Linked DNA regions of Mus musculus. The protein of the gene in region 4 binds, or shares a complex with, the protein of the main gene of each other region. Links are inferred from orthologs where the notes say so. Each region holds a gene or a part of one and is shown on either strand. Other genes may lie near its edges. The genes, in order: Pigu, Gpaa1, Pigt and Pigs.

Region 1 (3,559 bases), on a different chromosome or scaffold from region 4:
AGTGGTGGTGCACGCCTTTAACCCCAGCACTTGGGAGGCAGCCTGGTCTACAGAGCGAGTTCCAGGACAGCCAGGGATACACAGAGAAACTCTGTCTCGAAAAACCAAACCAACCAACCAACCAAACAAACAAAAAAACCCAAAAAACAAAAACACCCCCAAAAAAATCCATGAAAAATACTTTTTTTTTTTTTGAGTCAGGTCTCATATGGCCTGGAATTCCCTTTTGTAGCCTTGGCTAACCTCAAACTTGCTATCCTCCCGCTTCAGCCTCTTAAGTGTTAGGGTTATAGATCCATGCCAGAAAGCTCCACTTACTCTCTTCATCTCATGGACGGAAAAGGAAAACTCAGAGGCGCAGAAAGGCTAAAGAAGCTGCCTGGGAAAGGCAGAGTGTAGACTCAAGCTGTAGTCTGTCTGTCTACAAACTGAATTCAGCAACGTGAGAATGCTACACAACGCCTCTGAGGAAGGGCAATGCCCTCTTTAGGACGGACAGCTAACGAAAACAACCTGGTTGGGACAGGGAAAGACCAGTGCCTGAAGCCCTACCCTCCCACAGACCAAGGCATGTCTATATATTCCAATTGCCTGTGATTCATCACTGGGTGATTCTTATCTGTGAAATGAGGATGTCACAAGCAGAAGATGCCACCTCCTCTCAGTCAGCTCAGATTGGTCACCATTCTAACCAGGCCTGAGAGACACACCTGGCCTGGGCGTGGTCTGCCCACTTCACTGTTTACCTTCACTCCGGGGCTACACTCACAGGTAGGTTTCCTACTCACAGCTGGTCAGTTTCACTTCCTGCTTGACACCCAGACAAAACAACAGGAACTAACTTCTTGGGCAGCTTGCTCTAGGAGTTCGCTTCTGACGCTTGGCTGCATATCGCAGCTCCTTGAGAGAACCAGGAAGGTACCTGGGCTCTGCTTCCCTCACGGGGAGGGGAGGCTTCAGCAGCCTTCTACATACATTTGCAGACTCTTTTCCCCCCTTTTTCGATTGTTGTTGTTTTTCAAGACAAGGTTTCTCTGTGTAGTCTTGGCTTCACTATGCTGAACAGGCTGGCCTCAAACTCAGAGATCCTCCTGCCTCTGCCTCCCAAGTACTAGCATTAAAGTTGTGTGCCACACTGCCCTGTCATTTGCTGATTCTTTTGTGTTAGAATCCATGTTGGGTGTAAGGATATCTTACCCTACAGGAGCCTCGGGAGAAATGGGTAGAATTGAGAAGGGTCTTTATAGGAAGCAGGAAGTCCTATGTTCATAGCCAAAGGCTACAGTTGCACTTGTTCAATAAGAAGCTTGACCACTGTCCAATAAGAAGCTTGGTCACATGTAGCTTCATACATTTAATTTTAAACAAGAATTTCAGTTTCTACTGACACCATGGCTCTTCTTTGTAGTCTCAGTATTCAGGAAGTTAAGATAGGATGACTTCTTCTAATTTTAGGACAGCCTAGGCTATATAGTGAGTTTCAGGATAGCCTTGGCTACAGTCTAGGATCTGTCTCAAACAAACAAACAAATAAACTAATGGAAAAAAATCTGTCCATGACAGTATACACCAGTAAACCTGGATCTGAGAGGTGAAGGCAGAAGGATCAGGAGTTCAAGGTAATCTTCAGCTATACAGTGAGCTTAAGGCCAGTTTGGGCAATATGAAACCCTATGCCACAAAGCTGGAAATAGAGGAGAAAAGAAAGAAAAAACTTAGTTTCTGTATAATATTAGTAGCCACTCTATTAGAATACAGACTAGACACGGTCATCATTACAAACAGCGAGGTTGGACAGCACTGGGCAAGGCCTAGAGAGCTAGGCTCCAATTCCTAGTCTTTCTATTTAGCAGTCACAGGACCTTGAACAAGTGGCTCTATCTTTTTGTACCTCAGTTTTCTCATCTGTATAAGGAAATACTTACCTCCAAAGCTGATGCAAAGACAAAATGACCAACAGCAGTCAGGAACACAGTCACATGCTCTAAGCGATTGTTCTTTGTCACTGACCACAGGACCAGGAGGCACAGAGGCACATGCATGCTTCAGTGGCCTCCTCTTTCTCGGTGCTACCAGCAATGGGTGCCCAGTAAATGCATATCAATTCCTTCTCCCAGCTATTTCGCCTAGCAGTTAGCTGCACTTGAATCTATCCCTAGTGAGGAAAGTCAGAATACTCACATCTGTAGAGATGGTTCCACACAGGGAAGAAAGCCATGTAGAGGGCCACATCCCCCACAGTTGGATAGGACTTGAAGATAGAGATGATGGCAATCTGAATGAACATGAAGAAGATGGGATGCTCCCTGGAGCAGGGCAGGGAAGACAAACAGGCAGAGAGATTAGCCAGGGACTAGGCCCACCTTAGAGACCCCTGATCCTACCTCACCAACCAAAAGTACTCCCTAGGGGTCCTTCAGGCAAAGGCTGCCTTACTACTCACAAGGCATGCATGAGCCAGGCTTCAGTAGCAGGGCAGGAAACTACAGATATCAAATGCCCAGAGGTGGCAAGGAAGACCAGACAAACACCAGTTTATAGGGACATTGCCCACCAGTGGCTTCCTCCTGTCTGTACTAGCTTTCAGCATGCCCCCGGGAACCAAAGGAAGCAAATGAAGTTAGCATTCCTTATCAGGGTGGTGGTGGTGCACACTTTTATTCCCAGGACTTAGGAGGCAGAGGCAGGCAGAGTGAGTTTCAGAGCAGCCAAAGGTACACAGAGAAACCATGTCTTGAAAAAAAAAAAAGTTAAGCATTTCTTATTAGAATCCTAAATGACTGCTTGTCAAGAGAAATCAGGCAAAGGTCGCTGCGACAGGTCCCAAGACAGGAAGTGCCTGCTGGCTGATGGCTTGCTTACTGTTTACAGTCAGAGAAACAAGAGCACCGAGAGTTACACTCAGCATTTTCAGCTCTTCAGGGGCCAAAATTCTCTTTTGATATAGGGCCTCATGTAGAACAGGCTGTCCTAGTGACTATGTAGATGAGGCTAGCCTTGAACTCATGATCCTCTTGCCTCTACTTCCTAGGTGCTAAGATTACAGAGAGCTACCATGTCTCTCTCTGAAACAGAATTCTGGGGACCTACAACTAGTAACAGCTAAAACTGGCTTAAATTAATAAACTACCATGGCTCCTCTCTCCTGAGCCCCCTTTCTATGCTGAGCTCTGTGCAAAGTTTCTCCTGCGTCATCTCAGAGGATCCTCACAACACCAAGGCCAGCCTTCTAGGCAGAGATTCTTGTCCCCTGTCCTTCCCAGAGAAGTGAAGTCAGTGATGGAGCCTGGATCTGTCTGCAGAGCTCCTAATCCACCATGCTTTTCTCCTGGGTATTTCACATGTCTCACAGCAAAGGTGAGGAGAGCATGGGGCACATTCCTTGGAACAGCCAGCCCCTCGACACAAGCAGAGGTTGACTTCTGCACGAGAGCTAGATGCCTGCTTATGAAGGTCTTTGTCAGCTGCTCTGGAGCCAGGGGGATGGAACCACCAGGGGGATGGAACCACAGCAGTGTTCTCCTTAGGAGCCTGGCATGGCCCGAGAGGATGAATACAG
Region 2 (4,111 bases), on a different chromosome or scaffold from region 4:
TAGCTAAATGTTGGCCCAGCACAGGCAGGAAATAGAGGGCCAGACCCATGGCCTGAGAGATCAGCAGGGGTGCCGTAAGTGAGGCCAGGCCCACACCCTGCAGGACACATGGGTACTTGGAGTTAGGCCAGAGGAATAGGAGAACCCCCAAGGACGCATACCAAAGCACTGCTGGGTATGTTAAAACCCCCATCCTAAGAGCAGTAGAGTATAGCATCACCTGTGTTGGCAAGAGTGGAGTCCCGGGACTAGGGGCCTTCCCAGCCTCCTCCGGGTTGACTCCAGCCTGGTGTAACTGCATCCACAGCTCCAGAGCATAGAGCAAGTCAAGGACCCAGACAAGCCATTGGATGTGATTTGCTAGGTGGGAGATCTTAGGCTCACTTCCCTATCCCTACCATATGTAGGATGAAGGACTATCCCCCCTTTATAGTTAAAGGGATCTGAGTGAGTTTGGCCACAAGTGAGTAGCGAGCACGAGGGTGGAGGATATCTTGAGTCCAAGGACTAGGAGCAGGAAGCCCGTGGCGGGCATGTAGAGTCCGATGGAGACAAAGCGGGAGAGGGCCGGCAGCAGGTAGAAGAAGAATGACTGGTGCAGGCGCTCCAGGAGGTGGTTGAGCTTGCGGAACATGCCCTCCAGAGCCCTGCCAGGAGCACAGTCAGGTCAGGGCCAGCCACCCTCTCACCCCAGCTAGACATGACCTTGAACACGGAAAGGGGTCCAGAGAACTTACTTGCCCACTGTCGCCAAATCATACTTGTATTGGCGGAAGCTATTGATGCCGCGTAGGGTTAGTGCCTCCACTCCGTAGCGCAGAAAAAGGCCGTGGGGGCCGTGGGGCCGGCCAGAGGCCTGCCGCAGCACCATGAGTAGCAGTGTCTGCAAACCCTGCAACGGCCCTTCGAGTGACGTCCAGTCCTGGGGCTGCAGCTTTGGAGGCATGGGGACAGGATCAGACAGACTCACCCCTTCTCACGAGCCCCAGGCTCCCAAGCGGGTGGTCCCACCTTGCCCTGGAGTGTACACAACAGCCCCCCTTTCTGGCAGAAGGTCTGGAAGAGGTTGAGCAGATCAAGGTTGGGCAGCTGACCGTTGAGTCCCTCCACTGTCACATCGAGGCTGGTGACCACGTCGCTGCTCAGCTCCAGAGCTACAGCAGCCTGGATGGCTCCAGCCCTGCCCTGCAGGGGAGATGACTGTATGCCTGTAGGAGCAAGCAGTGAGCACTAGAGGGGGCACAAGGGACCGCGGTTTACTTTGAAAGAGATGGGGAGCAAGACTAGGGCTACACCTACCTGTAACATTAATGTCATGGTAGGCTTCGAGCCAAGCCTCGGTGCCCAGAAGATCATGGTCTGTTACCAGGAAAATGATATCTTTGGCCCAGTAAATCTGCCCTGGAAGCCAAAGGCAGGGTCAGCAAAGGGCCTGGGGCATTGGTCAAATCCTCCCGGACCAGAGCCCCAGAGCCTCACCTCGGAAATGGGCAGCAAGTGCCAACAACAACCCCACAGCCTGGCTATTGGTGGCATCTGGACCACAGGGTACAGTAAGCACCAGGGACTCGGTACTGGCAGAACGTGGGGCCCGCAGGATGCCATACACGTTGGTACCTGACACCATCTGCACAAAGAGTTGATGGGAAAGCCTCAGCAGACCCTCCAGCGGACAGCCTGAAGCCTGTCTTTTTTCCTGGCACTTCAATGCCCACCACTAAAGTTCTTCAGACCATCCCTCCCAGAGTTTCTTGGTTTCAGGGCACTTCAACAAGACACCCAACCCAGGCCACCCTTCCAATGTGCTTTTCTCCCAGGCACACCCCTTTCCCTCAATACATAGCGCTCGTGGGTCTCATCCGGGAAGGGTAGTTTGCGGGAGAAGCTCTGGGTGTAGACCTCCAGCCCTACGGATCGCATGGACCGTTCCAGCCAGGCTACTGGCAGAGCCCTGGAGACACAAAAGATAGCCTCTAAGTAGAGCTCCCTGGTCTCGGCCGCCCCTGAAATCCCCAGCCCGCTGCTAGGCACTCACCCCGGCTTCTTGCGGTGGGCAGCGAAGTCCCGGGCAAAGCTCCGAGCGCGGTCTCCACCTACAAACTGTTCCTCCACCATGGTGGAGCCCATGGCATTCTCAGACATGTAAGTGCGCTGGGTTAACGGCGGAAAAGCCAGCGCCAGAAACCAGGCGATCCCGGCCACGTAGCTCAGCACACTGCGAGAGAGTACAGAGTGGGCTCGGAATTAGCCCGACCTGGAACGCTAGCTCGTGGCTTCCACCATGACCCAGAGGGTCCAGCGGGATGGTCCAAGCCATTAAGAACCCGGAGCCAAAGCCGGGCAGTGGCAGCACACGCTGTTAATCCCAGCATTCAGGGGGCAGAGGCAGGTACAGGCGGATCTGAGTTCGAGGCTAGTCTGGTCTACAGAATAAGTTCCAGGACAACCAGGGCTGCACAGAGAAATCCTGCCTCCGGAAAGGAAAAAAGATCTAAGACCCTAGATCAGCGATGGATAGGGACCAGAGCTCTAAGCTCAGTGTCTGAGTGACACTTGCAAAGAGGTCGCAGACCCTGGAGCAGTAGGCGCGTGTGGAGCCACAGCAGCTCAAGTTCCCGCCAGTCCCGCCCCCTGTGCCCGCCCTCACCAGAGAGGTGTGTTAAGGCGCAAGACGATGCGGGCGAGCGCGCGCCGGCGCACCGGGTCCGACAGGAGACCCATGGCGGGGCGCGGGGCTCTGCTCTCGCGGCAGCTTGACACCTCCAAGAGCAGGGTTCCTGTCGGACCCGGCGCCCGGTGCTGCCTTAATTTCCGGTCCCAGGATCCATCGCGCCACTACTCTTGGTAGCGGCAGACGGAGTTGGGAAACCAGATTGTGCGCATGCTCACAACTGAGGTCGCCAGCTCTGCGCGTGCTCAAAACTGAGGTAGGCTGGAGAAGTACGGGATGCAGTCATGGCCAGTGGGCGGAACTGGAACCTGGGGCTGTGAAGCTGCGGGCGAGCAGCTGGAAGGCGGGACGCTGGCGGATCTCACGACAGAGCAGCGACAGTGTGCCTGCCTAAAGGTTCTCGGGAGTGTAACGCAGGTGGGTAGAGAGCTAGAACGACGAGAAAAGACTGATGCCTGCTGAAGTGAGATACTGAATGACAGTGTTGTAGCTATGACTTGAGGGACCCGTGTGAACTGAGGATTCGACGCTAAATCATTTCTGTGGATGTCATGAACCTTAAGACAGTGGGCTCACTGGCACAGTGGGCGAGTTGGTGGCCAGAGGAGATGGGTGGTGGTGGCGATGAAGGTAGTTTCTCTAAAAGGTTGCAGGGGTAAGGGCCTAAGGATAGATGGCCAAGAAGCAACAAAAGGTGGCTATCCTCCTAGAGCCCAAAGTAAGCGGGAGGAAAGGCCCAAGGAAAGAAGACATTAGTCCAGTGGTTCTTAACATTCTGACCTTTAATACCGTTCCTCATGTTGTGATGATCCTCAAACATAAAATTATTTGGCTGATTCTGAATAGCTAATTTTGCCGTTACGTCATAATGTCATCTCTTAATGATGGACACCCATAGCCAGCTGAGTGCAACCTCGGCCTTGTGCTCCTGTCCCTGATGGGCTGTGTAAGCATGGCACACTCCTTAGCTGGAGGACTTGAGTGACCAACATAGGCGAAGGGGGAAACTCCAATTTGTAAGCTGATTCCAACTTGAGTTTGTTGGTCCCCGGTTTGAACTGTGGTTAATAGAAATACCACCGACAAGTCCAAGAAGAAACTGCCCTGGGCCAGAGCCAATCAGGGAAATAGAGGGAAAGTGCCTACCATTGCAACGGTTACAGATAAATTGCTCATCACTGACCAAACCCTGTGCATCGAGATACCTCTTTGTGCCGGGCGGTGGTGGCACACGCCTTTAATCCCAGCACTCAGGAGGCAGAGGCAGGCCTGGTCTACAGAGTGAGTTCCAGGACAGCCAGGGCTACACAGAGAAACCCTGTCTCAAAAAAACAGGAAAAAAAAAAAGATAACTTTGCGAAATAAGGCAACTGACAGGCAGGAGACCCCTGCTCCCTGATCAAACTAGTATAAAAACCCTGCCTAATTGAGGCTCAGGGC
Region 3 (4,134 bases), on a different chromosome or scaffold from region 4:
ACTATACCCTGGCTGCCAGGCTGTGAGGGACACATCTGCCCTCTCCAATCCCCCCACCCGTCCTCACTCACCTTGGAACTGCAGGGCAAGAGCTTCTTCCATGGCGTGAGGTTCTCAGTGCAGACAACCTCCCGAGGCAGCACAGCGTAGCGCAGGAAGTAGTCGTCAGTGTCTGAGGGAGACAGAGCTGGGTCCTGTCCCTCCGAGATGTAGGTGACCTCATCCACCCACTGCTGGACCACTCTAGTACTACCGCCAAGTGGTCCCCCCTCCAGGTGGGACTCCAGGGAGGAAGCAATGCAGAGACAGCAGTCTTAGGAAGCTACCTGGGACCTGTACACCCACCACATTTAGCATCTAGCCCCGCTGTGGAAGAGGAGCCCAAGGGGAAGGATGCGAACATGGAGGGTACAAGGAGGAAAGGCCCGGGGCTATCTCACCATTGGCCAGTCCCAGAGGTTTGAAGGAGGCGGTGGGAGTGACGGTATTGGTGGCGTCGATGAAGTTGAGGGATGCACAGAAGATCCCCGAGAGGACATTGCTGAGCTCCCTCCAGGACTTATCCACACTAGACAGAGACAAACCTACTCACTGGCCTGTGGTTACAGATCCACACTAGACAGAGACAAACCTACTCACTGGCCTGTGGTTACAGATCCACACTAGACAGAGACAAACCTACTCACTGGCCTGGGGTTACAGCCTCGGAACCCCAAATCCTGTGTGGCCTCCTTAATACAGCCACAGCTGACTGCCAAGTCTATGGTAGAGTGAAGCTGCATCTCAACCATGAGACAAGCCAGATGATGCTCAGGGATGCCCCTGCCTCGCCTTACCTCCTTAGCGCCCTCTCTGGGCATCTCAGCAGCCCTGCAGGTCTTTGTTCAAGTGTCCATCTTGCCTGGGAACACTCTGCTCATGGTTCTGTCGCCTTCAAAGTCCTGCTCTGGTCTTATCCAGAGAGGTCTTATCTGGTCTTACCCAAGGAGCCTTTTCTGCTCACCTCAAGCACGGTCTGTAGTGTTGTGCTTCTGAGAGTCCAAGACCCCACTTAAGCCCCTTCTAGGCGATGGCTAGGTGGCAGCAGCTCATCGCCCTAAGCACCTGCTACATCTGCTGTGCATAATACCAACCTACACAGCTTTCCAAAAACTTTAAAACTACTTGTTGATATTTACATGTCCTTCCTCATGCAAAAGTCTGATCTCTCTTGAAAGTGACAGTCAGAACTGTCATAAGGTTACAATCCATAGGAACTGAGTGGTGACTATTTCAGATCGTCACACAGACTCTTAACCCTAACCCTCCCTATCAGGGCTCTAAACCTGGTAATGTCTGCATTACTGATGTTGCAGGGTAGTTAAGAGGCAAATGAGACACCCTTAAATTCTCACTCCAGGGTTTCACCAATGCTTTAACTCCCTCTGTCATCGGTATTTTGTGGCCTATGCTGAGATAAGTTTGCAATCTCTGCATGGAAAAAATTCTACTCTAGGAAGATCACAGCAGCTACTGGGCGATTTTCTGTAGTTCACAGACAACAGCTAGAAACTTGATTATGCTTTAAAGTGAAACTCTTGCTTTATTTCACAAAGACCATCCTGTAGCCCACTGCTATCCCACAAATGTTTTGTTAGGCATGGGTATTGTTTGTTTTTTTTTAATACAAACAAATGTCTTAAAAACAAAAACAACACACCTAGTCTGCCAATTATCTGTGACCTTATATCCCAATAATAGGAACCAACCACCTACTCTTTGCCTCGAGAAATGCATGTAGTACCTCAGACTTGGAAGTTTTCAGGAGACGATGTTCACTCAATAATAATGTAATTTCTTCATGTTGTATGTGCATGCATACTGATGCAAATAGCTGTGAGGGCCAGAAATCAGCAACCAATGTCTCTTTTATTCCCTCTGTACTTTGTTTGTGTGTGTGTGTGTGTGTGTGTGTGTAGGGGGGTACTTCTGTCACTGATCTTGGAAGTCACTGATTCAGGCATACTGGCTTCCAGCAGTCCTGTTCCTCCTGTCTCCACCTCCTCAGTTATGGGCCTAGAAGCCGGCAGCAGCAACCCGACTTTTAATGTAGGTTCTGGAAAATGAAACTCAGGTCGTCAAGCTTGAGTAGCAAGCATTTTACTGACTGGGGCATCGCTCCAGCCCTGTAATATTAATCCTTACTTCCAAAATCAGTTTTAACTTGGTGTGACCGCTACCTACTGGAGTAGCAGATCCCAAGGCCAATGACAAGATGACAACACTTTGCCTGCCACACCCCCTCCATGGCCTGTGACAGGTGTCAAGTTAGGAACTCACTCGGTGACAGTGTCTTGGAACCAGACCCAGAGCTCTGCACCTGACGGAGCCTGCAGGAAGGGTGGCCCCCAGTATCGCGTCCTCCAAAAGCCTTGCGTGAACGACAGGTGGAGCTCCCGCAGGGAGTACTTGGAGATCAGCTGTCCCAGGGCTTTAGGGAAGAGCCTGTAATGGGACACTGAAGAAAGCAAGGCAGGTGAGCGGCGACCCAAGCCCCACCCCTGAGTAGCTCTCTTTAGGAACTGAGCAAGGTGCTGCAGACATTTTCCTGGGGTCCTGAACTCACCTCCTTCCCGCTGCAGATCCGAATCCCAACGCGTGCGGAACTGGAATGTGGCGGCCACGTCGCCGGAAGGCAGTGGAGTGATAACGAGCTCTTCTCGCAGGCTGTCGCGTGGGCCCTCCGCGCAGCCACAGCAGCCCCGTCCCACCAGCAACAGCACCAGTAACCGCAACGGCAAACCGAGCGGCATGGCAGCCGCCATACCTGCGGCCGCTTCCGCCTCCCAGCATCGCCCGCGCCCACCAAAGGCGGTCATCCAATAGGAAGCCGGATGAGAGAGGACTTCCGGCGCCGTCCCGGAAACCACTCCGAGGTTACCGGAGGGACACGGAGGTCCGTCAACAGATCGTGGATTTTGCCGACCTGGCCTGAAGGGGTGTGGGCGTGTGGCGGAGGAAGAGAGCTGGCTTGAGGGCCCGCGCACCTATAGGTGCTTTCACCAGCTAGGAAGTGCTCGATATGCAGTGTGGCCATCCCGGTACCAAGTGCTGCTATTACAGGCGTGAGGTAGAACCGTCCAGTGACTCTATTTACTTGGCTCAAAACCTAGCCCGCAACGGTGAGGGCAGAGCTGTCCTACCCCCTCCCTGTGGTCTTAATAAAAGAATATAATAAAATAAATAAGAGTGTATGGCAAAATTGAAAGAATTAGCAGCTATTAAACATGTTCCTCCAACCATGTAAATTAATTCCACCATTAACATGTTGCTATGGGTACACACCAACAAGCCCACTCATCTATTATAGCATTGATTCCATCACGGAGTAAATTTCACACATGGGTATTCTGCATTGTCAAAATTTAGTTTCGTTCAAAATTTTCTCATAAAATTACCTGGGTTTTAATTAATAAAATATTGTAACTCCAAATCTTACGGAGATATAGAATGTTCCTAAGAACTGGGGCTGGGGATGAAACTAACTCAGTGGCAGAGTGCCTAGTAGGCATGAGACCTTGGGTTCATACTCGACATAGCAATGTGTATTGGGAGGGAAGCCCTAAACTTAAAGTCCCACCTAAGGTCCCAGAAAATGGTCTAATGCCTCTTTCCTGTCAACATCTATCTCCAGAACACATTGTAGAGGCAACCAGTGTTCTTGTAATAGATTAATCTGTTCTAGGACTAAATGTAAATGACAGCATAGTATGAGGTTTTGTGTGTTCTTTCCTGAAAGGAATGATTTTGAAACCACATTGTGGTTTAGAGACAGAAACCATAGCTTCATGGGAGTTGGCTCTACATCCTTTCCTCATCTCTAGGGAAACAGTGCTGATTGGCCTCGTGTTCTCATGTGTATAAGGTTATTTACTGCTGTGCAGTGCTAACATTGTGTGGGTAAGCCAGTTTCTCCACTGGAGACACTCCATGGGCAAAGGAGTGCTTGGTAGTTTTGGTTATAGTAGGCAAGGATGATTATAGTCTGTACAAGTGGCTTTGCACACTTAGGTTATCATGTCCCTTGGGAGAATATTTAGGAGTAGGATGGCTGCAGCAAAGAGGAAGTGCAAGCAACTGTCAGACCTTTCTCCA
Region 4 (3,559 bases):
TCATTTCTGCTTTCAAAGGCCGCAGCTGCAGCAGTAGCCCAGTGACACTTGCCTGCTATGCACAAGACCCTGAGTCTGATCCCTAGTACCAGGGAAGAAAAATTAGGGTTGTGTTTTTTTTTTAAATTAGGTATAGCGGCACATGCCTATAATCTCAGCACTGGGAGGCAGCACAGGAGGGTCAGGAGTTCAAGGCCAGCCTTGGCTACACAGGAAGCTTAAAGCCAGCCTAGGATACATGAGATCCTGTCTCAAAAACCGGAACAAAATAAAGTTTCTACCTTTCTGAGGTATATGAGAGTTTGCCTCAAACAACCAAAGGAAAGGTAAGAGAGGGAGAGGGAGGGGGAGGAGCAGGGGAGGGGGAGAAGGGAGAGGGAAGGGAGGGAGAGAAAGGGAGAGAGAGAGAGAGAGAGACAGGGAGAGACAGAGAGAGACAGAGAGAGAGACAGAGTGAGAGACAGAGACACTAAACCTTCCCAGTCCCATCCAAACCCGAAACCATCAAAGCACCCAGCCGTCCCCAACCCCACGCTGGCCTGACAGAGGCCTCTCAGGAGCTCACCGAGTCGGGACTCCACTGGGTTGATGACGTGGGGCAGGCTGTGCATAGCCAAGGAGTAGCTGGATGAGGCTGGGTCAAAGCGGGGGTTCACGCCGAGCATGGCATAGTATAGGATCTGTGGAGAGAAGGGGGACAGGCCATCCCATACACGGACTTAGAGGCTACTGTCTCTAAGAGTGCAGGGACTGTGTGAAGATACACTCAGGACAAAGACAAGGCTCAAGCAAAGTGCATGTATGAAAGGAAATAACAGAATCAAGGTAAAACTAATGTATTAAATACATACTTAGAAAACCACATTATTTTACCAGGTTCCCAGAAAGTCAAAGAGGGGAACAAACAAAGACTGGGTCCACAAGACCCAATTGAGTCTGCTTTTCAGACCATTGGTTCCTTGCCACCTGCAGGGTCTGATCAAGTCCCCCACGCTTTCCCTACAGGGACAGGATGTGACACTGAAAGCAAGCAGGGCGCTTTATGGCTCTATCGTTACAGTGTTCACATATTTCAGAAAGCTTTTTAAAAATAACTTCCTTAAGGGTGGCTGATGGCTTTAACATGTAGGTACAACTCCTGAGTTAGTACTTGGGAAGTAGCTCTGCCAAGCCACTCTGGTGACACTCCCTGAGCTGGACACCAAGGAAAGGACACCGGAACATGCCCTCAAGGGAGCAGTGGACTGACGGACATAAACAGGTGCACACAGTGCTTCCTACAAGCTACATCCCCGTACCTGCTCACACGACACTGCCCTACACACAGCTACACAAGCAAATCATCACGCTCTGAGAGAAGGAGAGCAGATGCCCATATAAACACTAAACATGTATAGACTTTAAAAAGGCTCCGTGCTGGGCATTGGTGGTGCACGCCTTTAATCCCAGCACTCAGGAGGCAGAGGCAGGCGGATTTCTGAGTTTGAGGCCAACCTGGTCTACAAAGTGAGTTCCAGGACATCTAGGCTACACAGAGAAACCCTGTCTCGAAAAACCAAAAAAAAAAAAAAAAAAAAAAAAAAAGAAAGAAAGAAAGAAAGAAAAAGAAAAGGCTCCATAACTCATTCCTGGTCTTACCTGAGAGTCCACAGAGAAATTGCCCGCAACACTGAGGCGATTCAGGAAAGGCTGCACAAAGCGCTGGACAGCTCCCTCAATGTCCCAGTGGACATCGTGGGACTTGGGGTCTGGGTTGAGTAAACTGAAAGTGATTTCATAGCCTACAGAAAAGAGGAGTCGTGGAATTCAGAAGTACATCAAGGAAAGAGGCAGCCTACATCCCACGTCATCTGGATGGGATAGGGATGCCACTGAGGGACCAAAGAGAGGACAGGAGTGAGATAAGGAACACTGCTGAGTACCTTAAGGAAAAACTGGAGCCAGGCAGTGCTGGCACACACCTCTGATCCCAGCATGAGGGAAGCAGAGGCAGGCAGATCTGAGTTAGAGGTCAGCCTGGTCTATGAAGTGAGGTCTGATATAGCCAGGGCTACACAGAGAAACACTGCCTTAAAAAAAGAAAAAAAGAAAAAAAAAAGAAAAAAAATGGAGAAGCCAAACAGAGTAACTCCTGCTTTTAATCATTGCACTCCAGAAACAGGCAGGAGGGTCTGTGAGTTTAAGGCCAGCATAATCTACATAGTTCTAGGGCAGCTAGTGCTGCCTCAGAAAACAAACAAACAAACAACAAAAAACAGCTGGTGGTGGTAGTGCATGCCTTTAATCCCAGCACCCCAGAGGCAGACATTGGCAAATCTCTTAAATTCAAGGTTAGCCTGATCTATAGAGCAAGTTCCAGGACAGCCAGAGCTACACAGGGAAACCCTGTCTCAAAAAAAAAAAAAAAGAAAAAGGCCAGGCATGGTGGCGCATGCCTTTAATCCCAGCACTTGGGAGGCAGAGTCAGGCAGATTTCTGAGTTCGAGTCCAGCCTGGGCTACAAAGTGAGTTCCAGTACAGCCAGGGCTACACAGAGAAACCCTGTCTTGAAATACCAAAAAAAAAAAAGAAAGAAAAAACAGAGGGAGGAGAGATGGTTTAGAGCTTTAAAGTATTTGTTCTTGCAGAAGATCCAGGTTCAATTCCCAGCACCCACATGGTGACTCACAACCATCTTCACTCCAGTCCCTGGGGATCTGACGCCCTCTTCTGACCTCCAAGCATGCATGCCGTACACATGCATGCACGCAGACAACACACTCATACACATAAATAAGTAAATCTTCCGCCGGACTCACGTCTTCTCCCTTCCTAAAACAAAGCCCAAGCCCTACCTAAGCTGGACTTGAGCGGCCGCCTCTTGTCAGAGCTCCACTTGTCCTCGGGCAGGTGGTCGGCCAAGGCAGCAGCAAGCACATCCTCCGTCAAGGACATGGCCTGGGCGACCTGGACTATGCGACGGCCGATGATGTTGAAGGCTTCCCTGTGGATCAGCCCCCGGACAACTGCCGTCCTCTCAGGCCCAATGTAGCTCATCATGTCCTGTGCGGGGGGACAGAGGGATGGAGCGCCATGGCTCAGTGAAGAAAGCATAAAGGCACTCTATCCTTCTTTTCTTTTTCTTTCTTTTTCTTTCTTTTTCTTTCTTTCTTTTTTTTTTTTTTTTTTTTTTTTTTGAGATAGCCTCTTGACATAACTCAGGCTAAAATTTGAGATTCTCCTGCCTCAGCTTTCCAAATGATGGAATTATAAGCATGCACCATTACATAAGCCCAGTTCTGGTTCCTGTCTTAAGGAATCTGGCCTATTACCATCAGCTAAAAGGTTGCACCACTCTCTGGGCTTGTAGTGAGCTTTTTTTTTTTTTTTCTGTTTTTCATTTTTTTCTCCCAAGACAAGGCTTTTCTGTGTATCCCTGGCTGTCCTGGAACTCATTCTGTAGACCAGGCTGGCCTTGAACTCAAAAGATCCACCTGCCTCTGCCTCCTCAGTGTTGGGGTTAATGGCGTATGCCACCATTGCCCAGTCATGTGTCTCTGTCTCTCTGTCTGTCTCTGTC

The links.
Region 1: the proteins of Pigs (region 4) and Pigu are in contact, whole or in part, in a cryo-EM structure (PDB 8IMX), measured with the Homo sapiens proteins. The link is inferred for Mus musculus from reciprocal best matches to the Homo sapiens genes PIGS and PIGU. Residues at the interface, in NP_149975.1 of Homo sapiens: Ala4, Gly5, Ala8, Thr9, Glu12, Arg15, Arg18, Ala19, Phe22, Phe23, Val26, Leu30, Leu34, Trp35, Thr38, Thr39, Leu510, Leu511, Phe513, Ile521, Tyr522, Leu525, Phe526; in NP_536724.1 of Homo sapiens: Gln118, Phe282, Glu283, His284, Phe285, Leu287, Phe288, Phe289, Cys291, Val292, Phe293, Ile295, Phe299, Tyr300, Ile302, Pro303, Ile306, Lys307, Lys309, Glu310, Thr417, His418.
Region 2: Pigs (region 4) and Gpaa1 share a complex: the UniProt entries of both Homo sapiens proteins name them as parts of the GPI-anchor transamidase complex. The link is inferred for Mus musculus from reciprocal best matches to the Homo sapiens genes PIGS and GPAA1.
Region 3: the proteins of Pigs (region 4) and Pigt are in contact, whole or in part, in a cryo-EM structure (PDB 8IMY), measured with the Homo sapiens proteins. The link is inferred for Mus musculus from reciprocal best matches to the Homo sapiens genes PIGS and PIGT. Residues at the interface, in NP_149975.1 of Homo sapiens: Thr9, Glu12, Val13, Gly16, Ala19, Ala20, Phe23, Thr230, Pro238, Lys239, Tyr244, Ile247, Glu248, Val251, Gln256, Val270, Asp271, Ser272, Gln273, Ile274, Tyr276, Tyr277, Met279, Ser309, Arg310, Ser313, Ser314, Ala315, Ala316, Phe513; in NP_057021.2 of Homo sapiens: Pro26, Arg27, Val63, Ser64, His65, Tyr66, Arg67, Lys71, Gln75, Lys79, Tyr80, Val133, Gly136, Lys191, Leu193, Pro194, Cys195, Ser196, Lys198, Ala199, Glu270, Pro271, Pro273, Leu274, Tyr526, Ile529, Cys530, Cys533, Val536, Ala537.

Annotation. Positions count from the first base shown.
Region 1 is NC_000068.7:155,294,902-155,298,460, forward strand, and holds part of Pigu (phosphatidylinositol glycan anchor biosynthesis class U protein precursor), read right to left. Parts: intron 2,307-3,559; coding exon 2,182-2,306; intron 1-2,181. UniProt on the Homo sapiens protein: Component of the glycosylphosphatidylinositol-anchor (GPI-anchor) transamidase (GPI-T) complex that catalyzes the formation of the linkage between a proprotein and a GPI-anchor and participates in GPI anchored protein biosynthesis.
Region 2 is NC_000081.6:76,330,000-76,334,110, reverse strand, and holds the start of Gpaa1 (glycosylphosphatidylinositol anchor attachment 1 protein), read right to left. Parts: upstream 2,818-4,111; 5' UTR 2,722-2,817; coding exon 2,648-2,721; intron 2,216-2,647; coding exon 2,036-2,215; intron 1,952-2,035; coding exon 1,840-1,951; exon of another isoform or gene 1,824-1,839; intron 1,628-1,823; coding exon 1,480-1,627; intron 1,402-1,479; coding exon 1,300-1,401; intron 1,209-1,299; coding exon 1,012-1,208; exon of another isoform or gene 947-1,011; coding exon of another isoform or gene 935-946; coding exon 738-934; intron 648-737; coding exon 494-647; intron 317-493; coding exon 221-316; intron 98-220; coding exon 1-97. UniProt on the Homo sapiens protein: Component of the glycosylphosphatidylinositol-anchor (GPI-anchor) transamidase (GPI-T) complex that catalyzes the formation of the linkage between a proprotein and a GPI-anchor and participates in GPI anchored protein biosynthesis. Binds GPI-anchor.
Region 3 is NC_000068.7:164,496,229-164,500,362, reverse strand, and holds the start of Pigt (GPI transamidase component PIG-T isoform 1 precursor), read right to left. Parts: upstream 2,805-4,134; coding exon 2,606-2,804; intron 2,498-2,605; coding exon 2,320-2,497; intron 1,875-2,319; exon of another isoform or gene 679-1,874; intron 632-678; exon of another isoform or gene 569-631; coding exon 441-568; intron 282-440; coding exon of another isoform or gene 173-281; coding exon 72-172; intron 1-71. UniProt on the Homo sapiens protein: Component of the glycosylphosphatidylinositol-anchor (GPI-anchor) transamidase (GPI-T) complex that catalyzes the formation of the linkage between a proprotein and a GPI-anchor and participates in GPI anchored protein biosynthesis.
Region 4 is NC_000077.6:78,334,910-78,338,468, reverse strand, and holds part of Pigs (GPI transamidase component PIG-S), read right to left. Parts: intron 3,043-3,559; coding exon 2,835-3,042; intron 1,782-2,834; coding exon 1,639-1,781; intron 681-1,638; coding exon 566-680; intron 1-565. UniProt on the Homo sapiens protein: Component of the glycosylphosphatidylinositol-anchor (GPI-anchor) transamidase (GPI-T) complex that catalyzes the formation of the linkage between a proprotein and a GPI-anchor and participates in GPI anchored protein biosynthesis.